4 linked regions of the Arabidopsis thaliana genome follow. The protein of the gene in region 2 purifies or fractionates together with the protein of the main gene of each other region. This does not show direct contact. Each region holds a gene or a part of one and is shown on either strand. Other genes may lie near its edges. The genes, in order: DL1, PEX7, AT1G24510 and AT3G03960.

Region 1 (7,244 bases), on a different chromosome or scaffold from region 2:
AAGTTAACAGCAGAAAAGAGTCTCTATGATTTCATCATTTACGCAATCCCTAATCTATCACTAACTCTAAAATCCTTAATGTCAACGAAATTGGATTAGCTGAGAAAGGTTTAAGCTTTCCAATGGAATCGATGAAGAGAAGCAAAAGGGTACCTGAAAGTGAGGTCGTTGTCGTCGTCATTATCAGTTTCTACGACGGAAGACGGCGAAGAAGAAAGAGAGAGTAGTGGATGAGGATGATGCTTTGATGATTTGTTGAGAAAGAAACTGCTTGAGCTTGGCCATGGCCTTGATTTGTGACTACCATTGTTGAAGATGAAACATCGAGGCAGAGATATTGATGAAATGGAATTCGCCATTTTTCTTTCCTCTGTGAGCTAAGAGAAGAGAGTGTGAGAAGATAATGGCCACAAATTCAGAAACGCAAAACAAAATAAAAAAGAGTACATTACAAATTTTTATTTTAAACTATTAGAATTTTTTTCTTATTGGTAATCATATTTAAATATTATACTCTTTTTTTGGGTAGAATGTTTAATATTATACTATTGTTACAGAAAAATTATCATATGCGAAAAATACATTTTATAGTAATTAAATAAAGGGAATAGAGAAAATCTAATCTATGTGGATGTTATAAAAGATACGTAACATATCGGGTGATGGACAAAAAACATTAGAGGCAGGACAAACAATGTGGATGTTATAAAACGATACGTAACATATCGGGTGATGGACAAAAAACATAGAGGTAGGACAAACAATGTGGATGTTATATAAAACGATACTGCATGGTATCGGGAAGATCATCTTATACAAATTACAGACCCTAAATCTCTGCTCCGAGTCTGAGCCACACCGACCAGAACCGAGCAAAACAGTGGACATGACATGCCGGTATCACTTGGACCAAGCAACAGCATCGATCTCGGATTGGGCTGCTCGATACAATTCTAGCCGCTTTGAGATGGCACTGCGTCTCTCCATGATTGCTGGATCTTCGTTCAATAGCGACGAGAGCCTCTTCATCTGTTGGATATCACCATATTAGTTGACTCAGTGTTTACCCGAATGACACTTCTTTAGGTTAAGAAAAAAGGCAGAGAGCACTTACATCCATGGTACCGAGCTCCGCAAAGAAATGGTCGAGGAGACTGCGCTTCGCTTCTCGGACTTGGCAGTATACGATGGACTTGGGGATTGAATTCCGCAGGCCAGCACAGACCATGTTCACGTAAGACAAAACATTGGATCCTGTTGCCAAATGTCTAAAATTTGTGAGATATACGGTACCAGATAATTATTTATTTATATGGGTTAACCTTACCGATTCGTCTGAGATAGGAATCGTTGTAGCGGTCGAAAATGGAGTGTGTGGGGTTACCACCCTTCTCAACATCCTGGGGAAGTTTCCTGAAGAAATCAACAGTGAGGTAACTGCACTCCATGTCAACCAGCTGCAGTGTTGCTTTCTTACTTCCTTCCCGCATTTTATCCAGCGACTCTATCGCCGCATTTGTCACCTCCACTCTCAGAGCTGGGTATTGTTTTAGTTCCTGCACATGTTCAAACCGTCTATAACATTGTACAAAAGTACTAGTTGTTGGAGATATATATATATATATATATATTACTAAAAGAAAAAAGAACGTACCACAGTTTCATTCACAGACTTGTGAACCAGATCCTTTAAGATAGCATGAACCTAATATTTAACCATAGAAAAAAAAAAAAACGGAGAGAGAAGCTTATTGTTTTGTGTTAGGTTTTTGATACATCTTTTTAGAGATGAAAGTAAAGAGTTCATACGGTGTCAACAGATGCTTCAGCAGGGCCTCTGATGGAGACAATAGAAGACTCAATGAGACGACGGTAACCTTGCTCAGGAGCAATCAAGTGAGGCTGGTAACCATCAGCCTCAGTGACCAGCTTCCGGATGTTGTCCATCGCTAGCTGCTTGTCAAATTGGAGTCTCTTCAGAGCCGCAGGAAGCTGGTTATCAAACACGTTGTACACTTTTTCACCACCAGCACGCCTGTGTAATCAACCATAGTCTTAAATTACAATTTTCCTTTTGTAGTTTCAGAAGGTCAAGAGTAGAAATATCAACTCAGACGCTATAACAACTCATGGTGTAATCTTAAACATTTGAAGTAAAAAGAGTCAAAACGTACACTCCATCAAGATGCTCTTTGAATATTTGATCAAAAAGCCGACATATCTCCATTATTGAGTACAACTTCCCCTGCATCAGAACATTAAGTAAATCTTGATAGCGCAATTCAATCAAAAATAAAAGAATACACAATTTACCCCTGCATCAGCTGCAATAGGCTTTCCAAGGCGACTTAGTTCAGTTTCCAGCTCTAATACTGTTTTGTTAATAAGTGACTGAATGCCAGGAATTCTCGACTTGATCACACGTTCTAGATGCTGCGCAACAAATAAAATTGTTGCAATTAGGCTCTGTCCTGATGGTTTTATACAGAGAAACGTGCTAAGCATTGCCATAACTTCGTAGTTTCTTAGTATTTTCTGTCGGCTGCTAAGAAAATTAGCAGCAATCGTGAAAACACTGGCCCTGAAACTCTTATTTACCACTCCTAACAAATTTCACAACGCCAACTTACTTATTATAAAGAACCTGGTGAAGAAAACTACCCCTAGCCTCGTGAAAGCACGTACCTTGGAGAGCATCTTTGCCAAATGCTCGGAACCCATTTTATTAGCAAGGTGCCTATACTCAGTAGTATTGGAAAAGTACTCCCTCTCTCTTTTCCGAGCCGCAATCATGTCGACATTCTTGTTAATATCTGCTTGGGAACGGTTGACGACACCAACCCACGGATATTTAAGTTTAAAAGATCTCCCTTCCAGAATCTGAGCAAAAAATATCATTTGGTAAGTAGCGGTGCACGCAATAAACATTAATGAGGGAACATAAGTATTATGATGTTACTACACAAATTAGCATTTTATAGCTCCAACATCATATCATAGACTAATTACAACACATTTTATTCACAGTAATTCGAAATTCTAGTACAGATGTTCTATAAACTGGGAATTCAACTTACTTCCACTGCATCCGTCCCCTTGTCCATAAGATCAATCTTTGTCAAGACACCAAATGTTCTGTCCCCTGTGAAGATCACCAAGATTATAAGAGACATAGGATGACAGAATAATGTGTTGGGTCTCTTAGGTGGAAAAATGAATTGTTTGTAAAATGCTCACCCGATGGATCAACCTCACGGGAAATTTTAATTGCATCTGAGGTAGCAAGATCTTGGTTTGCAGGTGAGATTGCCAAAATGATGCAGTTGGGCTATAAGGAAATTTAATTAAATAAAAAAAAAAACAGAATAGTGTCAACTCATTTGGCGCTACGAAAACATAACAAATATAGGGAGAATACTTATATATTACCGAATCTAATTTAAACTGGCGATAGCTATCTATAAAACATTAAAGGGTCTGGGAGTAAGCATTTTCATTTACCTTTTCAATGTAGGACCGAACCATGTTTTCAATGTCCTTCACTATACTATCAGATTGTCCATCTGCATCAACCAAAAGAAATTTGTCGTGTCATGCCAAATTATGTATGGTAGAGAATAAAGTCTATTGCCTCATGCTTCATCGCTAGAAAAAATAGACCAAAACTTCTTGCTCTACTGTAACTTACCAACAGCAACTTTTGTAAGCCCTGGAAGATCTATCAGTGTCAAGTTGACAACTGCACACATAGTAAAGAGGATAAAAAATTAGAGAATGAACAAAAAGCACATACAACTGGAAAGAGATTTTGGGTTGTCCTTACCATTGGGAGAGTATATGCTAAGGTGAATGGGAACACTAGAAATAGCCTTGCTGCGTCCAGTCTCTCTGTCAGTCTCATCTTGAATCTCCTTCCTCACAGCAGCTATAGAGGTGATTAAATTAATCAAATATCAATGGAATACAGGAGAAGGTGAAACTTGAACTGCAAATTGAGATAGCCGAAACCCACCAAAATCAGTAAACTTTTTCCTCGGGAGGTGAAGAAACTCTGCATACTCCCGGGTTCCATCATCGATCTTTTGCAACTGTAAGACAAGGGGCCTTCGAGTAACAATGCCTACAAATAGTTACCGCAAATGCATATTGTCATTACTCAAGGAAATAAGCAATTTCATAATTAAAACTAAGTAAGAAGTGTTAACACTGTATTTACCAGATCCACGGGGTAAAAAGTCCTTTCCCACGATGCTCTCCAGGACTGAAGACTTCCCTGAGCTCTGTCAACACAATAAGGATACAACATAAACTTAATGCCACATAGAATTATCAAAGTACAGAAACCCCTCTCCACAACAATCGTAGCTTAAATTAAATGGTTCAAGACCAACTAGTGAAAAAATATCCAAGTCAAAGCCAAGTCAACATTCCTCAATACCAATTGCTTGCAAAGCTAGTTCATAGTAGAAGCTATTAAACTATAATTCCTCACGATCCGGATGTTGATAAGCAAAAACAACGAAGTTTAGGGCAAATTTATCCGAATACCTCAGCTCAATATCAATTCCGAATCGCAAAAAAAACGAACGAATCGTGAGATAGATCGTCAAGCATATAATGGAAGGGGAAGGAGATCGAGATGCAAACCTGACCACCAACGACGGCGATCGCAGGCAAGGAATCCCAAAGAGTAGGTAAAGCGCTGGAGTCTCCATGGTCTCCTAAAGCCGTGCAAGCTCTCTGTATCTTGTTAACCAGAGAGATCAGATTTTCCATCGTCCTCTACTCCTCGTTTCCCCAATATCAAATGAGAAGCCCAAAATACAGTAGCTGCTACAACAGATCGGCGAGATCTGATACCTCCGCCGGTAAAATTTATTGCGGAAGGAGTAGATCTGCGATGCGACGGTGAGCTATGGAACCAGAGAAATAGAGATAGAGAGAGATGAGTTTTTGAATTTGAGTCGATGAAGAATTTTTGCTTGCTAGTGTTGGGAAAAAGTAAAGGGGAAGAAAGCGGTTTATATAAAAGCCAATACAGGGTCTTTTCTTTTCCAAAGAAAATTTGAAACGGCATGGTGTTTATTTCGAGAATTCAAAGACGACGAGGAGTTGACCAAAAACAAAATAAAAACGACGAGGTGTGTCGTATATATTCAACCAATCCCTTAATATTCCACATCTCTCTAACCAGGTAAAGTAATGATAATACTATTGCATGCATGACCAACCATATAAATAAATATAACAAGGTCGATTTTCTTGTAAAAGAATGTAACGAGTTAAAATTCGAATAAAAAAACTATCACTTATTAGTAGAGTAAAGTGATTTCATGTGGACCACGAACATCCTCATTACGATTGCAGTTCAAACGGTCCATAGATTGAGGATTCAAAAAAAAGATAAGAGACGTTAAGGATTATGATTGTTTATTCAAAAGGATGACACTAAACAACAAAATAACTGTAGTTTTGAAAATTTGAATGTATAAAATAAAGATCTTTTCTAGAACAAACCCACTAAATCTGACTAGTAATGTCACATCGATTTTAGATAGCGTTTGCATTTTGGCAAATACTATGTTTGGTTGGTGAGATCCAAACGCTTTTTAGAAATGTATAAAACATAGCACTAACACATTTTTAAACCTTATGTATTGTTTACGCAAATACACGTTATTTATTTTCCAGCTAAGTGGTGAAAAAATAAACCGGTTCACATTTTTTTTTTTAAATGTTACTAATGTTGTGTTTGTCTACACAATTTTTTTAAAAAATGTTACTAATGTTGTTTGAGACAAACACAACGTGTAACTTTGTATCCTACATACTCTTGTATCAATTGTTAGATTTTATGATGTTCATACGTTAACAAATATGTATCATGTGACCAACTTCTATCCCTCAAATTAGAATTTTGAAGTTAGTGAAAACGTGATGTAAAATAGGTTTAACATATGCTTTATGGGAATATGTTGAGACTAATATGAAATACAAATGAGGTTGGAGTGAGACATGCTATGTAATATATTTAGGTATGTAGACTGTATGTCTCCGTAGCAGCTGCATGAATTTAGCTTCCAAAAGCACATATACTTGCACGGGTCACACGGTTTATTTGCAGTGTAACTTTTTCGAATTGCGATTCTTGAACAAAATCTCTAAGAGTACTCTTCTACTACTTTCTGATGTTTTTCGTCATATGTGAGTGGAAGATGTTGGTTTAGTGTCGGGTTGTGTAGAGAGGACAAGAGTTAGACCATAGACACTCAAACAGTCAAACCAATCTATTATAAATAGATAATATCTCTCCGGTTTAGTATTTAAGCTTTCTTTGTATACCATTTATGTTTAATGAAGGTTTCGCGCTTGTTGATACAATCTGAACGAGATCTAAAGAAACCGTAAAAACATTTAGAAATAATACATCTCCAAAAAAAAGTCATTCGGAAAAACATTTTATGATTTAAATTGATGGATAATTTGTTCTCAACTTATACATCCAATTTCCGACCAATTCAAAACGAAATTCATCAATACTTTAATTTCTTCCTTTTTTTTTTTTTTTTTTTTTTGTCAACCGATATAAATTTGAACTCAAAAGATCCAATCCCGAGAGATATTGTTTACATACGTGACATGATGCGGTACGGTACGAATCTTTCGTGCCAACTTATCCGCTTTTACATTTGCACTACGAGAAATTAAAGATAAAGAGAAATTTATGAATTCTTCCCTATCACTCTACAACTCCTTCAAATACACTGGAAACGCCGGCCATTCGGTTGGAATCGGTGAATTGGTGAAATTTTTGTTTCTAGAAATCAACTAATCCGTCAAAGATGGTTTATTCCCTTAATGATGAAGGAAAATGGGTTCTCTTGTTGCTAATAAAATAATGGTATTTATTTTGTTTCTTAGAAAGAAAAAAAAGACTAATTTAATTTGGTTGGTCACACACAACCGTTTTCATCGGAAGAAGAACAAGTTGGATTGATTTTGCTTTGGATCTCACATCTGAGATCAGATTAATCTCTCTGTGAAGTCGAAGAACGAAACCCTAGTTCCCATGGATCTCTCTTCACGCTTCTCATCGATCCTTATCCTTCTCTTGATCTCCATCTCCATAGCTTCGGCTGAGATTCGTAAATCAGAGATCCGATCCGATGATCGTCCAATCATCCCTTTAGACGAATTCGGTTTCACTCACAGCGGTCGTCTTGAGCTTGACGCTTCCAAGATCT
Region 2 (3,940 bases):
TCCTTCGCAACATCTTCCGCGTGCATCACAACAAAAGTAAAAGATCGTACATGTGTCATTTAAATTCACAAAATTTAATCTCTAGTTTTAACATAAAAAGTCAATACTAATGTGTGTCTATTACATATAGTATGTTCTTGACCTCGTGGATAAAGCAATATTATAGTTCACTTTAATACTATATGATATAATGTCAAGCCCTTTCATATGTTTAACCCAATTATTTGTCTGATTTGAATTTAGTCCAAAAGTTGAGACGGTTGTGAGTCTTGTGACTTGACAAAATGTGTTTTGAGATCTTTTGTTTGGGATCGGAGTACTATATTAAAAAAAAAATCATAAGAAAATAAAAGAATCTTTAATACTATGGAATAAGATAAAAAAGAGAGTGGTATAATAGTAAAGTAATAAGTAGAAAGTGATTCTTGAAATGGAAGATCCGTAAGAATGTTCTTGTGATTTTAATAAGCTTCTACCTGAAGACGCATAAAATGCAAAAGCTCGAAACTGCAATATGCTCTAGAAAGTTATAAATATGTACATTTATGCCACTCAATAAAGTCAATCAACTATGAAAAAGAACAAAATTCGAATTCTACAGTATACTATAAAAGGTACATTACCCTAAAGTAATTGACTTTATATATATTATGTCATTACTTTGGACATTATAGAAGATTAACATATATCTTAGTCCTAATATATATGTTAATCAGGTCTCATTGTAACAGGTTAACATATACACTAGAACATAAGCAATCTATCTACTATTACCATCAATCACAATTCGAAAGATAACCTTGTTCATATGTGAAACTCTCAGTAACTTACATTTCTTCTTAAGCAAGATCCCAACTTTATTCCAACTACATTCCTTTAACAAAAACCAAACCAATTCCACAACAAATAAAGATGAAACTGTTTTGCAATCACAAACTTACTTATGAATCAACTGGCTCTAGGATCCATCCCTTGCTGCCAAACATAAACAAGCTCATCCCAACCAGTACTCGCCATTAAACCTTCAACAAGAACACTCATATCGATCCCAACAGCAAACTCTGTATGATGATCATACCTACCAACCAAAGCATCTTCCACCATATAGTCCCAAAGACAAACACTCATATCATAAGAGCAAGAAGCTATCAAACTCCTCCTATGCGGCGAGAATTTCACCTTCCTCACCGCATATCCATGACCATTAAGCACAGCCAAAGGAACTCTATAACTCCTAACATCCCAAACCTTAACTGTCTTATCCACTGAAGAAGTAGCTAAAATACAATCATCATACTTATTCCAATCACAAGACAAAATCTCAAAATCATGAGCAGGGATGATCATAGTTGATCCAGGTTCTCTAACATCCCAAATCCTTAAAGTACAATCTCCAGAAGCAGAAGCAAACACATCACCATGTTTAGGATTCCAAACTGCTTGATAAACGCAATAAGCATGTTCCTTAAAAGTCCTTACACTCGCCGGACGATCCATAGCCCAAAGCTTAACCGTATCATCCCACGAAGAAGTGAGAAACGAATCGCGCCGCGTGGGATTGTAATCCACAGATTGAACCTCACGCGCGTGCTCTTGGAATGATCTAATCGGATTAGAAGGAGGAGGAAGAGCTGTGTCGTAAATCTTCACTGAGCCGTCACCAATTGCGGCGATGAGCACAGAGTCATGAGATTCTGACCAACATACGTCGTATACAGCGTCGGCTGTATCGTACGAGACGGATTCAGTTACGCCTGGAGCTCCAGGAGCGAGCTCGAGGACATGGATTCGGCCGTTTCCGAGAATTCCGAAGTTCTGAGCTGTAGCGACGGCGAGGCGTGACTCGTAGAATGGACTGAATTTCACAGAGTAGCCATTGAACGGAGCTTTGAACACCGGCATAGCTTCTTCTTCTTCTCCGGTGAGTGATTGAATCAAAAGAAGAGTCTTCTCGAAGATTCAATTCAACGATCTGATCGGATAACGCCGATTTTGCTCATCGCAGAATTAATTTTCCCCCCAATTGGGCCTATTGGGCTGGAGCCTAGCCCATTTGTGTAGGTTGTGTTAAAACGATGTCGTTTGGCATTTCAAGTTAGGGTTTTTTGGGGGTTTGGTTCAAGCTTCATCGTCGTCTCTCTGTCTCTTCAATTTCATTCGTTTTCTGAGATAAAAGTGAGAGAGAAATCTAAATTCGAGAGGAGAAGTTTTAATTTTTCTGAGTTAGATTCAATGGAAGAGATCACGGAAGGAGTTAACAACATGAACTTGGCTGTTGATACCCAGAAGAAGAATCGGATTCAAGTTTCCAACACTAAGAAACCATTGTTCTTCTACGTCAATCTCGCCAAGGTAACGAAACCCTTTTAATCGAATCTTAATAAATTCGTATTTAGATTGAAATCTATGGATTCGAAGTGTTCTTATTTGAGTACCAAGTCTGGAAATGTCTGTGATTGTTCATGAGTGTTAATTTATCTGTTATTGACTTTGATGAGTTATTACTGGTGGTTCTGTGTTGTTTATGTGACTCTTTATCAATGTTTGTTCCTTAGATTTGTGAACTTTGTTTTGCTCTTTAGATTTGATTAAACCTGTTTATGTTATTGACCATGTTTGGTGTTTTGTTAACAGAGGTACATGCAGCAGTACACTGATGTCGAATTGTCTGCACTAGGAATGGGTAATGTTTATTCTTTATGATCTTGTTTATATATCAAATCTAATATGTATGGTTTTTAAACTATGTAACTGAGTTCATTAAATTCAAAGTTATTATCAGAAAAGCTGTTTCCTTTTATTGTTATGACATAGAATCTTTTATCTTCTGTGATTTTGTAATATCTTATCCGAGCTTTCTTTATTGGAAGAGTTTATTCTGGTTTCTCATAAAACATTGATTTGTGCGTTGTGCAGCTATTGCCACTGTTGTTACGGTCGCTGAGATATTGAAGAACAATGGCTTTGCTGTTGAAAAGAGTAAGATCTTCTTAATCTTGAATGAGTTAATGTTAGCACAAGAGATTTGAAAGATTCAGTGACTAAGTTTTGCTTATTTGGATATTGTTTTTTCCTGCAGAGATCATGACATCGACTGTGGATATCAAGGATGATTCAAGGGGTCGTCCTGTGCAGAAAGCTAAGGTATATATTTTCGAATCATTTGATAAATTGCTTATGCTGTGGAATTCTAGCTTCCGTCTAATGATTTTTGTTCTCTGGGAAATTGCTATGTTGGTTGCTAAATTGGTGACACTGTGACTTGTAGATTGAGATCACGCTTGCCAAGTCTGAGAAGTTTGATGAACTAATGGCTGCAGCTAATGAAGAGAAGGAGGCTGCAGAAGCCCAAGAGCAAAACTAGATTGTTTCAAGTTTTTTCTGTTCAACGATCTTATTTCTTCGTTCCCTATCTCTATCTGCTTAATTTTAAGACACTTCTATTTCGTTAATTTTTGGTTCACTTTTTTATTTCACCTTGGATTGTGTCCTCTGTACCTCTGAGCATTTTTATTTAAAGATCGTAGGAAGTATAAAAAAGATGGCTTCGTTGCATAAATCAGCTTCCAACCTTATTATGTAGAGTAATACATGTAGTTGAAATTTTATTTTGAAGACTTGGAATCTGTCCATAAAAAAGGTTAGTGATATGGCTTATGGATAACAAATCACTATCTCTGGGATAATTGAACAAATGTAAGCCACATGATACATATGTGACATCATGAGCTATAAGTTATAACTAATGGCTATATCTAATTTTTTTCTTTTTGTCAGTTCTTTTAGTTTAACACTAAAACGTAACCATACTAGAAGAAATATAAGAAAGTATTATAGTGTGCAATAAGGTTATTACTTGCTAACTAATCACTTTGGTTCACATTCTTAGCACCAATAAACTATAATAATAGTATATTATAGTTCAATAGGATTTGACCAA
Region 3 (5,242 bases), 1.5 Mb from region 2:
TCAAATAATAAATATCTGGACAGTCAGTGAATATGGAACTTTCTTTATCAAGTATGATATATGAATATGAGAATGATGCATTGATGCTTTGTATGGTTGGTTATTGATAGGAATACCCCAAATACGAAGTGGTATTTTGATAGATAAGACTAAAGAGATCCTAAAGAAAGAAAGAGATCGAAAAAGAAAAAGGAAAAAGAAAAAGAAAATAGGTATTATTAGTTGAGTTTAGGACCAAAAGTGCAACACACCAATACGAACCCGTATACACTACTACGCGTACGGCTCTTCCTTCACTCCTTGTATGGGTCCCTCGCTGAGCTTCTATAGTGGAAGCTCCCCAAACCCAACCATGAAATTGGCTCCTCATCACATTCACACCTTTAAAATTCCAATGTAATATATTTTCTTTCTCTGGAGACAAAACTTATTTTCAATCTAGTCTATTAGTTTGAGTTATTATTTGGAGTTTAAAAAATATGTCCTTTTCTTTTATTTGGTATTTCTATCCGAGAACACTTTGGCTGATTCTCTGGCAAAGGCTAGTCTTAAATCTTGTATCATCTCCTCTAGTGATAGAGAGTTTGAGTAATCTTAACGTCCCTAAATGCATAAATATATGCATTTTGATTAGGATATTTTTTTCTTGTTTTTTTTTTGTTTGCATTTTGATTAAGATTTATACACGATGGTTACAATTTTACTTAATTAATTATTATGGCTTTTGACCCCGAAATCGTATATTATTATATTCAATTCAGAATTTTGTATCTAAACACCGTTAGTGAAAAGTTTTTTTTTTCAGTATTATTACAAAGACAACGTTTCTCCTAACAAAGGAGAAACAAATTACAACAAGATCATCACAATCATCCTTACATATAAATAATCTTCGTTTAAAATAACCTTCTTATCATAAAACAATGCCCAACTTAGAGTAACAAGAAAGAACCAGCAATGGATGTAACACCAACGACGACCGCAGAGACGCCAAGAGCTGCCGCACCGCTTTTGGCAGAATCAGCAGAGCCTGTAGGCGCATTGTCGTACGAGGAGTCACTTCCTAGAGGACCAGCCACTGCAACGTCACCGTCACCAGGAGTAGGAGCTGCATCGTCATCGGTGGTTCCGATTTGGTCATCGGTGACTGGAGCCTCGACATGATCGGTTTTGGAGGCAGCTGGAGCTTTGGAGGGAGACGCTGAAGGAGATGGAGAGGAGGCAGCTGCGGCAAGGCCAATGATGGCCATGAAGACGAGGGCAACCACGACGACAATGTTTTGGCGACCCATTCTTCTCTCTCTCCTTCTTACGTAGAACTCGTTTAATTTATTTTAGGGTTTGAGGTTTATTGATTGTGATGATTTCCGAAGATGAGTTTGATATGTATATATAGTTGTGTTTTGTGATCAAGACCAAAAATAAAATAGAAAACGTTTGAACTAAGATGTAGGATTACCTTACAATCCAATGTAAATCTACTGGAGTACCTAAAAATGGACTTGTTCAGATATAGATTTTGATTGGTGAACATGCGAATGAATATGAAACCATTCGTTCAACTTCAAATCGTCGTATTAACGAGTGTCTTATTAAAGAACCAAATTATGATAGTATTGCCATGAACATTCTATTCATCTTATATCAGATGGGCTTTAAACCCATAAGCCCAAACGTCTTGTTAGGCCCATGAATCAATTCCGATTTACGATTCTGCCATCAACAGCGAGTTAGGGTTTTACACTCGACCACTTTAAGCTCTCAAATCTTCCAGACATTCTTCTTCTCGCTTTTTTCCCCATTTCAACTTTTTTTTTTCCTCTCCAGTGCACTAGGAAACAAAAAAAACCCAAGATCTATAGTTCGATCGGATCGAGAGAAGCTCGAAAATGGCGCTGGCGTTCGATGAGTTCGGGCGTCCGTTCATTATACTGAGAGAGCAAGATCAAAAGACTCGTCTTAGAGGAATCGATGCTCAGAAAGCCAATATCGCCGCTGGTAAAGCCGTGGCTCGGATCCTTCGATCCTCTCTTGGACCCAAAGGAATGGATAAGATGCTTCAAGGACCTGACGGAGACATCACCATCAGTTCGTTTCTTCCTTTTGATTTCTTCATATCTGCTTTTAAATTTCTAGTTTCGCTCTTGTTTACTTGGCATAGTGTTTACTATGTTGATGCCGTAGTTTGATGAATAGATCCATCTACTTTTTGAAAATCGATTCGCTATGTCTGTTAACTTAGCTCAGCTCTACTACTACTTGTATATTGTTTGTAACCTCGCCTTTGTTTTGCTTTTGCAGCAAACGATGGTGCTACGATATTGGAGCAAATGGATGTTGACAACCAGATTGCGAAACTAATGGTGGAACTGTCGCGGAGTCAGGATTATGAAATTGGTGATGGAACAACAGGTGTTGTTGTTATGGCTGGTGCACTTCTTGAGCAAGCTGAACGTCAGTTAGATAGAGGAATTCATCCCATTCGTATTGCTGAAGGATATGAGATGGCTTCTAGGGTGGCTGTTGAGCATTTGGAGCGTATTGCCCAAAAGTTTGAATTCGATGTTAATAATTATGAGCCTCTGGTTCAGACTTGCATGACTACTCTGTCCTCGAAGATGTAATGTTCCTTTTTGATATTCAGGCTACTTTTCAATAGTTGTTGCTTGTTTTTACTTGGTTTATAGTATACTGTCTTAACTCTTTCTTGCTCATTGTTACAGTGTGAATCGATGCAAGCGCAGCTTAGCTGAGATTGCTGTTAAAGCGGTTCTTGCTGTTGCTGATTTAGAGAGGAGGGATGTTAACTTAGATCTGATCAAAGTAGAGGGGAAAGTTGGGGGAAAGTTGGAGGACACTGAGCTTATTTATGGAATACTGATTGACAAAGATATGAGTCATCCGCAAATGCCAAAGCAGATTGAAGATGCCCACATTGCCATTTTGACTTGTCCCTTTGAGCCACCGAAGCCGAAGACTAAGCATAAGGTGGACATTGATACAGTGGAAAAGTTTGAGACATTGCGCAAGCAAGAGCAGCAATATTTCGATGAGATGGTACAAAAGTGCAAGGTAGGTTTTAATTTGTATTAATTTATATTGTCAGTTGGATGTTGAGTAAGCTACTGAAGAAATCCTTTTGACAATGGTCATTAGTACCACAATGCATTTTATGATATGATTTATGTATGACCCTTATGATTTTAACTTTGCAGGATGTTGGTGCTACGCTGGTTATTTGCCAATGGGGATTCGATGATGAGGCAAACCATCTATTGATGCACAGGAATTTGCCTGCTGTCAGATGGGTAGGGGGTGTTGAATTAGAACTTATCGCAATAGCCACAGGTAAGTAAAGTACTCTTAAGCATCTAATGCTAGTGTTTGTATCAGTTATGCAAAGCTGATCAGAAATTTTTCTTTTTGTAGGCGGTAGAATTGTTCCAAGATTCCAGGAGTTGACCCCAGAGAAGTTAGGGAAGGTATTTTTTTTACTTTCACTAGGTTTTGCTTGTAAAATGTTAATTAGATTTTAAACAGACCATTGAAACCCAACATTTCCTGATATATTTAGGCTGGCGTGGTTCGTGAGAAATCTTTTGGCACAACAAAAGAACGAATGCTGTATATTGAGCACTGTGCGAACTCAAAAGCTGTCACTGTTTTCATCCGTGGAGGTAATCGCCTTGTCTTTTGTACTTATTAGCACTTTAGCAGCACTGTTTTGACTTTTGAATAGCTGATGAGAGATAAACATCGATGTACTGAATCTAATGCCTTCTAAGTATATGGTGGACAACGATATTGTATAACTGATTGATCCAACGATTTGTTGCGGAATATGGTTTAGGTAACAAAATGATGATAGAAGAGACGAAACGTAGTATCCACGATGCTCTGTGTGTGGCTAGGAATCTCATCCGCAACAAATCAATTGTTTATGGAGGTGGGGCAGCTGAAATCGCTTGCTCACTTGCGGTTGATGCAGCTGCTGATAAATACCCTGGCGTGGAGCAGGTAAAATATGATCTTTCCTCTTTGATACCCTGAAATGAAATCATTTGTTTCTCAAATTGTAACTCTGAATACTAATCATGTATAAATACTTCCTCATTTACAGTATGCAATTAGGGCGTTTGCAGAAGCTTTGGACTCTGTCCCTATGGCTCTTGCAGAGAACAGTGGATTACAGCCCATTGAGACACTCTCTGCGGTTAAATCTCAGCAAATTAAGGTTAGTAAACGACGAACTTTATTATCTATATCATTGACTTGCTTGTTCGGTGACTGAACAAACATTGGGTTTTGATGAACAGGAGAATATTCCCTTCTATGGAATAGATTGCAATGACGTGGGAACAAACGATATGAGGGAGCAAAATGTGTTTGAAACATTGATCGGGAAACAGCAACAAATTTTGCTAGCTACGCAAGTCGTTAAGATGATTCTAAAGATCGACGATGTCATCTCCAATTCTGAATACTGATTTGTTGCTACCTTTGTCCTAACCTTTGGCTTCTTCGGTGTTTTTTGTTTGCTTTCTATTAGCTTTTGATACCCTTCGACATCGTTATCCTTGACTTGTTCCCTTTGTTTTGCAACCTTCTATTTAAGAACATCGTCAGATCTTAATTTTTGTGTGTACTTGTCCACAGATCGAAGCACTCGTTTGCATTTTCTTTTCGATTTAGTAACTGATGCAGGTCTCATACTGTAGACTAAACTATTATCGTATTAGTGTAACACCAGTGAACGAGGACAAAAGTAATTGTTTGCTTGTACATAAGAACATAAGAAATATGAAACCAAGCTTCGAAGGCTTCAAATACCCATCTGCTATGGTCTTTGTACACAAAATCTAAACCCTGAAGACTAATGTTTCCCACTCTTAAGATCTATAAACTTCGAAATCTGTTGCAGAGGGACTACAAGGCCTGAGTACCAAGATTTCTCCTCGTCTTATTCAAATCTCAATTCCTCTTTGTTTGTTTGGCTTCGCCTTAAGACATGAAAACATGAGTCTTTACCTCTTCTCTGTTTCATGAGAATGCTGTTGTTCTGTATCATGGCCAATGCCGAATGTCCCATTCGTAGTCTCGTCCTTTTGAATGGATGGCTTCCCATTCACAGCTACTGTGCCATCGGATGTTTCATCCACAGCAGAAAGTTCTGTTTTTTTATCATCTTCAGCGACAATGGCTGTATCAGATTTTTCATCTTGTTCATGTGCTTTGTCTGTAT
Region 4 (6,135 bases), on a different chromosome or scaffold from region 2:
AATATATGATACCTCTGGTACTACAACTCCAACCAACACAACAGAAGATATCTGTGAGAAACCAAAAACAGATTTGGATTCTGAGGCCAAACTTAAGACAGTGGAGACTGAACTAGACCCACGTCTGGGACGGAGCAAGGGTGTGTTAAAATTGGGATTGAGTGTCTTCTCTATTGCAGTTGCAGGGTTTGCTTCTTTCATGTGGATGTATCTCCAGGATGATATGATGCCTCCTCATCTTGTTCCGACTTAAAAAGTCTAAGGGATGAACATTAAAAAGCTTAGAACTTACATAGGTTCAAATTCTAGCTTAGTTCTCTTGTTCTTTTGTCAATGTGTGGATCATGTTCAAATACTAGTTTGTTTGTTTTCTTTTTCCTAATGAATTTGTCACTTGTTCAAAAGTCGAAACAACTGTTAACCAGACATATTTACATAGGTTCAATTTCTAGTTAGGTTCTCTTGTTCTTTTGTCAATGTGTGGATCATTTTCTTTTCCCCGAATGATTTTGTCACTTGTTCAAAAGTCGATTCAAATAGAAACCAAATTGACATTAATACAGAGTTAAGCCAAAAATCCTAGTAATAATTTCACTAGCTAAACCGGAAAATCTGAGTGTTGAGACGAGCCAAAACAAGGCAAAACAGAAAAAGAAGGCAAAACACTTAAGTTGGTGGTGCGTTACAAAGATCACAAATCTTAAACTGAGACATACCAAAATTTTCTCAGACTTTCAGGAACAGAAGGTTACAAAAGAAGAGAGTTTCACTACGAGGTATTTGTTCTCCGGCTTAGTCTTCCTCCGCACCAGCACCTGCAGCTTGAGCTGCATCTCTCCTTGGTCCACCTGCTGGTTTCGCCATTATAATCTGCACATTTTACATAAATTTTGAGTATAAACATGCATGTTTTAGTAGATGAGATCAATCAGTGGAACTGAATATTGAATCTAAGAGTTTTCACGAACAAGGGACTTAATCCTGGAAGATAATGCATTCACCGAACAATATCTTTTTACTTCATGTGATGAATCAACACTTTACAATATAATAAAAAATTGCTCCGTTCACCAAAGATTAAATCAAGTCAGTTTGTGCATACCTGGTCTACACGAAGTACAGTGCATGCAGCATCTGAAGCATATTTAAGGGCAAATAACCTGCACAGAGACTTAAGCGTCTTAGTTATCAATTAAAGTGAATGGTAATCTTTGTAACCAGTCAGAAAATTCTACTCCAGTTTTTATATGTTCAAGAACAACTGCTAAGCAAGTATAGAGACGTCTGATAGAAATATTTGATGGCAAAAAGACAGTCTGAAACTTACTTGGTTGCAAAAAGATCCCATACTTTTGTCTCTGAAACATCTTTACAAGCACCTTCCTCTAAGTCAATGCCTAGTTTTGTGTTTCCAGATCCATGTCCAGTGTACAGAGCGGCTATGATTTCCATCGCATTGAGGCCAGCATTATCTGCAAGGGTCTTGGGTACAAACTCAAAACTCTCAGCGTATTTGGTGATGGCATATTTGTCCAACCTGAAATTTCAAAAGCGAATCCTAAGTTCAGTCCCCAAACCATAGACAGTTTTGCTTTAAAAGCTAGCCTCACATGTTTAATTTTTGAAAAAATGAAGTAAAAGAAAGTTACCCTATTTCTGCATTGGCGTATTCCTTCAACCTTTGAGCCAACTCTATTTCAGTCGCTGCAGCCCCGGGAACAATACGGCTGTCTCTGCACATGGCCTGAAAATAAAATTGAAGTAATAACAGTCACAAATTAATGAATTATACGATATAGATGGTACAAATGAAGCTAGATATTACCTTGTATGTGTTAACTCCATCATCAACAGCTCTCTCAAGGTCGTCCAAAATGCTATCTGTGCTTCCACGCAAGACCACAGTGGAGATGGAGTTACCACCTTCCTCGTTTCTTGCAATCGTGACCTAAAAGAAGACCGAGAATTGTCTATGATTAATGAAAGACAAAAATAATTAACCAAAAATATTGGAATTGACTTCGGAGTACTTACTGTCACACCACCAATTTCCTCAACCGATATAGAATCAACATATCCAAGATCTTCAGGGCTTGGCCGGCTAAGCTTCAACTGTTTGATAATTAAAGGATTAAAAGCTAGGATAAAACCACCCTTAGATACTCATTCAGATAGCCAATTAATAACACTTACATGGGCGACAGCCCCCGCTGTACGGCAAAAACGCCTCAGTTCAAACTTTGAGCTGATTTTCAATACCATTATCCTGCCAAGAAAAAATGGGGTATCAGAATGCAGACAATAACAATAGCTAAGACGAGTATAACATGATATGGTCTACACATACTTGTAGCGCTCACAGAAATGCAATGCCATTTCTCCAATTGATCCTCCACTAACAATGACTTTGGCTCCTGATTCCGCAACTGCTTTAATCAACTCCTCAACTTTAGCTTCCTCTGTCTTTGCATAGTTCTCTAGCTACAAATCCAATATAAAAAGAGAAATTTGTCACAATAACGATTACAAATACACAACCATCTTTGAGGAAGCCATAATCGTAATTTTGAAATTTTAGAAAGACAGTAACAAATCTAACCTGCTCAGCACTATGAATGAGGACAGTTCCTTTGGTCTCTGTTGCAGTGGTATCAACGCCACCAGCAAATACAGCAACCTGAAGAAAGCATAACAAATTGATTTAGAGACATTAAGCTATCAAAAACAGAAAAGACAAACCCACAAAGCTATATTTCATAGGGGACCCAAACATTGATCAATTCAGACAAAAAAAACTTTGTCAAAAGCATAAACAAAAGAAAGAGATCTCACCTTCGCTTTCTCCATTCGCTTAATGCTACCAACAGCATCACTTTTCAAGACCATACCACGGACTATGCAAGAATTGTGCAAGCCTCCTCCCAAAAGCTTGGAAACACGAACATTATCCACATTGAAATTCGTTGGATTCTTTGGGCAGACTTGAATACATGCCTAGAAATAATATGAACCCATCAAGTAAAATCTAAATCTGCAATAAACTTGAATAAATAACAATCTGAACAACGAAACAGGAAACAAATAGATAGCAAGGAATATCTTACGTCAGTAACTAAAGAGCAAATTATTTCCTCTTGCCCAAACTGCTTGCTTGCAACAGCTGCTCTCATCCGAGAAATAACTTCATCCTTGTTACGTACATCCATGGTCTCAGAACCAGTCTCAACCAGTTGTTCCAGTATTTCAACAGCCTGCATAATCAAAATCCAATAGCATTCGTCAAATACTCAAGACAAACAAATTGAAAAGCACAAAACAGTAATTCAGGTATTCACCAACCTTGCTGACAGCTTTAGTATATCCACTAATGATCTCACTCGGATGAAGTCCCATCCTGATAAGCTCCTCAGCGTTTTGAAGAAGTTCACCAGCAAAGGAGATTGTCAGATTAGCTCCATCTCCGATTTCTTCTTGCTGAGCCTTAGCAGCTAAAACCAGAAGTTTAGCAGCCGGGTGCTGAATCTCGAGCTCATTCACTATAGTAGCAGCGTCATTTGTGACAAACAGTTTGTCCAAATGATTGATAACCATTTTATTCATTCCTGAAACATTATAAACAGAAGAACTCAGTTCTAATCCGAATCTGAATCCCTAGAAAAAGACTTCACCTTTACAGTAACAGATCAAGCTTGCTTAAACTATACACAAGCGAGATCCTACTTACAACACTCAAGTAAAAGTAAAACGAAACGGAGAAAACGAGATTCATCATTTCAGTATTAGATCAAATCCCAATCAGAGAAACATTACGAACCATTGGGACCGAGAGAGGTGCGAGTAATGGTGGAGAGCTCCTTGCAAGCTTCAATGTTCTTAATGACGGCTTCGTCGAGACCAGAGAGATGCCTGTAACCTTCTTTAAGCATCGATTGAATACCATATGGCTGCATCGACATACCCACCATTTTCTAAGGTAACGATCTATAAGCTTCGAAGTTGGGTCACTCGAAACAATAGAGCAAAAACCCTAAAAGCGAAGAAGAAGAAGCTCTGTGAGATTTTCGAAGAAGTTTAGAGAGAAGGTTTTCTGTGAGTAAAAGTGGCCGAGATTGCCCTAGAAAACTTTCGAGGTTTTAAAATGGGAGTTCACAACGGTGTCGTTTTAAATTTTAAGGGGATGGGGGCCAAAAATTGAGATCTTAAATCTTTAGGGGTGAAAGTTGTATTATATGAAAGTTTAGGGACGAATAGAGAACACCATTCCTTCTGGTTTTTGTGCTAAACGGTGTCGTTTTAACTTTTATGGTGATGTGGGCCAAAATGTGAGATTTTTGACATTTACGGATGAGAGTCTTATTATATGAAAGTTTAGGGACTAAAAGAGAAATAACTTGAAAATAACATGATATGAACTTTGAAGGAAAGCCTGAGTTTTTGTTTTATCAGATGTGCGTCCCCTTAAGAGGAACAAAAGACAATGTAAGTTTTGTTTAGATAAGCAGAGAAAACACACAGATTAAAGATGTGTATTAGGTTTTTAGAAATCCCAACCCTGAAGAAAAAACATAATTCAAAACTAAGTTCTTTTAATTAAGTCATCTTCTTCTTTCCTTGCATTGATTCCATCTTTCAACTCAAGTTAATTGTTTCCCCCGAAGCTCCATCAAGGGCCTAATATAACAAAACAATCAAAATGAAACAATCCCAGAGACTGTATCAAGAGGGGTGGTTAATGTGCTTTAGATGCAGCAGGGTTTAAGGAATTGTACCTGTTTCTTTTGCTTGATCTTCTTGTCTCTGATGATCTTCTGCCTTGTCTCATAGAACTTGTAATCATCAAGTATACATGTCTTGCTCATATACTCCTTGAAGATCTTTATGATCTTGGTCCCATGCTCCAGATTCACCTGTACCAAAACCATCACCGTACAGTTTAAAAGCCTGACTAACAGCCATAATCATTATTTATTAGAATTCAATTAGGCTTCAAACATGTCCAAGAAAGGGTTTAGGGGAAGTTCAACGGACCTCTTGAGTGTCTCTGCTATTAGTGACAGGCTTGTTCTCGTTATTCGCCAGGGTAATGTGTCTTAAGAGACTGTTTGGTATGTCTTTGATGATATGCCACTTCACAGGGAAACAACCAATCCATTTATCTTGCTGCCAATACTCCATTGTCTTGTTGAAATCAACAGGGCCTACCATCTCCGCAAGACCAACAAATTGCCCACTTGCATTCACCTGTAGATAAAACCGATTACAGTGAGTTACTTAATGTAAATCTGAAAGGATATTGCACAAGACGTGAAGTAACCTCATACTGACCGAGAACAGAAGATACACAGGGCATTCTTGGGAGTTTTCTTTGGCTTCATAATATGCAGCATTCAACTTCTTGTTGCCAGTTGGTGTGCTCGACCATGCACCATACTTAATACAGTTATGAACATCATCTTCGCTGTATGACTTGATCACAAAGAATTTTGCTTTCACAAATGATTCAGGGAAATTCTCCCCATTGTAGCGCTGGAGATCTACTGCTGAAACGTCTTGCTTCATTGCATCTAGCATTGAAGAGTTAAGAACTTGTGGATTCTTGAAATCACTACTCCTTGGTCCTCGACATAGCTCATTAAGCCTATCTGCTTTCTCATCACTGTAACCACGCCCATGATTGAAGCTTCTGGTCTTTCTATAACCATCAACGGGATACCATCCTCGCCCAAGTTTCCAGGAATCATAACCAAAAGTTCCATATGCATGACCAGAGTCAATTACATTCCCGTAAAGTCCATACAATCCATGGTTGGAATACAAATGATCATTATATCCCAATTGGTCAAAACTTGGTACTTCTTGTGAGCTGTGTGGATTCTGTTAAATAAAACAGTTGTAGCCAGTAATTAGACAAAAAAAAAATCCCAAGTCCCAGCAGAGATGACGAAGAGAACAAAACACACATTCTCTTGACTATATGAAGACAGAAAAGAGGCAGAGAGGTCATGTGAAGTAACCAACATACCATGAGATGTGAAAAGGAACTGTGATTGCTGTTGCGGTCATAACCAAACCTCGGATCAGGGTAGCCACCAGAAGGATAGTTTGCTGGGATGTAACCCCACGGGTATGAACCAA

The links.
Region 1: the proteins of PEX7 (region 2) and DL1 purify together in Arabidopsis thaliana (affinity purification with western blotting, with the first as the bait; one study listed by BioGRID). This does not show direct contact.
Region 3: the proteins of PEX7 (region 2) and AT1G24510 purify together in Arabidopsis thaliana (affinity purification with western blotting, with the first as the bait; one study listed by BioGRID). This does not show direct contact.
Region 4: the proteins of PEX7 (region 2) and AT3G03960 purify together in Arabidopsis thaliana (affinity purification with western blotting, with the first as the bait; one study listed by BioGRID). This does not show direct contact.

The regions. Positions count from the first base shown.
Region 1 is NC_003076.8:16,819,761-16,827,004, forward strand, and holds DL1 (dynamin-like protein), read right to left. Parts: upstream 5,257-7,244; 5' UTR 4,777-5,256; coding exon 4,648-4,776; intron 4,281-4,647; coding exon 4,217-4,280; intron 4,121-4,216; coding exon 4,013-4,120; intron 3,926-4,012; coding exon 3,824-3,925; intron 3,740-3,823; coding exon 3,689-3,739; intron 3,564-3,688; coding exon 3,502-3,563; intron 3,329-3,501; coding exon 3,238-3,328; intron 3,143-3,237; coding exon 3,078-3,142; intron 2,881-3,077; coding exon 2,686-2,880; intron 2,434-2,685; coding exon 2,314-2,433; intron 2,246-2,313; coding exon 2,175-2,245; intron 2,036-2,174; coding exon 1,810-2,035; coding exon of another isoform or gene 1,804-1,809; exon of another isoform or gene 1,706-1,803; coding exon 1,655-1,705; intron 1,557-1,654; coding exon 1,328-1,556; intron 1,255-1,327; coding exon 1,115-1,254; intron 1,030-1,114; coding exon 901-1,029; 3' UTR 524-900; downstream 1-523. Other genes in the region: AT5G42070 (uncharacterized protein), read right to left, coding at 154-359; AT5G42090 (Lung seven transmembrane receptor family protein), read left to right, coding at 7,070-7,244. UniProt on the Arabidopsis thaliana protein: Microtubule-associated force-producing protein that is targeted to at the leading edges of the forming cell plate during cytokinesis.
Region 2 is NC_003070.9:10,222,885-10,226,824, reverse strand, and holds PEX7 (peroxin 7), read right to left. Parts: upstream 2,011-3,940; 5' UTR 1,903-2,010; coding exon 949-1,902; 3' UTR 503-948; downstream 1-502. Other genes in the region: AT1G29250 (Alba DNA/RNA-binding protein), read left to right, coding at 2,233-2,352, 2,635-2,683, 2,917-2,979, 3,080-3,144, 3,269-3,364. UniProt on the Arabidopsis thaliana protein: Receptor required for the peroxisomal import of proteins containing a C-terminal PTS2-type peroxisomal targeting signal. Specifically binds to cargo proteins containing a PTS2 peroxisomal targeting signal in the cytosol.
Region 3 is NC_003070.9:8,684,749-8,689,990, reverse strand, and holds AT1G24510 (TCP-1/cpn60 chaperonin family protein), read left to right. Parts: upstream 1-1,744; 5' UTR 1,745-1,889; coding exon 1,890-2,088; exon of another isoform or gene 2,089-2,188; coding exon of another isoform or gene 2,189-2,228; exon of another isoform or gene 2,229-2,301; coding exon 2,302-2,620; intron 2,621-2,723; coding exon 2,724-3,072; intron 3,073-3,215; coding exon 3,216-3,348; intron 3,349-3,429; coding exon 3,430-3,482; intron 3,483-3,574; coding exon 3,575-3,677; intron 3,678-3,850; coding exon 3,851-4,017; intron 4,018-4,120; coding exon 4,121-4,234; intron 4,235-4,316; coding exon 4,317-4,487; 3' UTR 4,488-4,720; downstream 4,721-5,242. Other genes in the region: BCP1 (homolog of Brassica campestris pollen protein 1), read right to left, coding at 933-1,292; ALB4 (OxaA/YidC-like membrane insertion protein), read right to left, coding at 5,025-5,242. UniProt on the Arabidopsis thaliana protein: Molecular chaperone; assists the folding of proteins upon ATP hydrolysis. Known to play a role, in vitro, in the folding of actin and tubulin.
Region 4 is NC_003074.8:1,022,262-1,028,396, reverse strand, and holds AT3G03960 (TCP-1/cpn60 chaperonin family protein), read right to left. Parts: upstream 4,254-6,135; 5' UTR 3,966-4,253; coding exon 3,815-3,965; intron 3,603-3,814; coding exon 3,340-3,602; intron 3,252-3,339; coding exon 3,105-3,251; intron 2,995-3,104; coding exon 2,833-2,994; intron 2,678-2,832; coding exon 2,600-2,677; intron 2,482-2,599; coding exon 2,348-2,481; intron 2,267-2,347; coding exon 2,194-2,266; intron 2,113-2,193; coding exon 2,035-2,112; intron 1,949-2,034; coding exon 1,826-1,948; intron 1,745-1,825; coding exon 1,650-1,744; intron 1,538-1,649; coding exon 1,328-1,537; intron 1,161-1,327; coding exon 1,103-1,160; intron 871-1,102; coding exon 793-870; 3' UTR 506-792; downstream 1-505. Other genes in the region: AT3G03970 (ARM repeat superfamily protein), read left to right, coding at 1-253; ECT1 (evolutionarily conserved C-terminal region 1), read right to left, coding at 4,630-4,671, 4,770-4,907, 5,029-5,241, 5,326-5,874, 6,023-6,135. UniProt on the Arabidopsis thaliana protein: Molecular chaperone; assists the folding of proteins upon ATP hydrolysis. Known to play a role, in vitro, in the folding of actin and tubulin. Contributes to stem cell maintenance through its impact on transcription factors trafficking through plasmodesmata.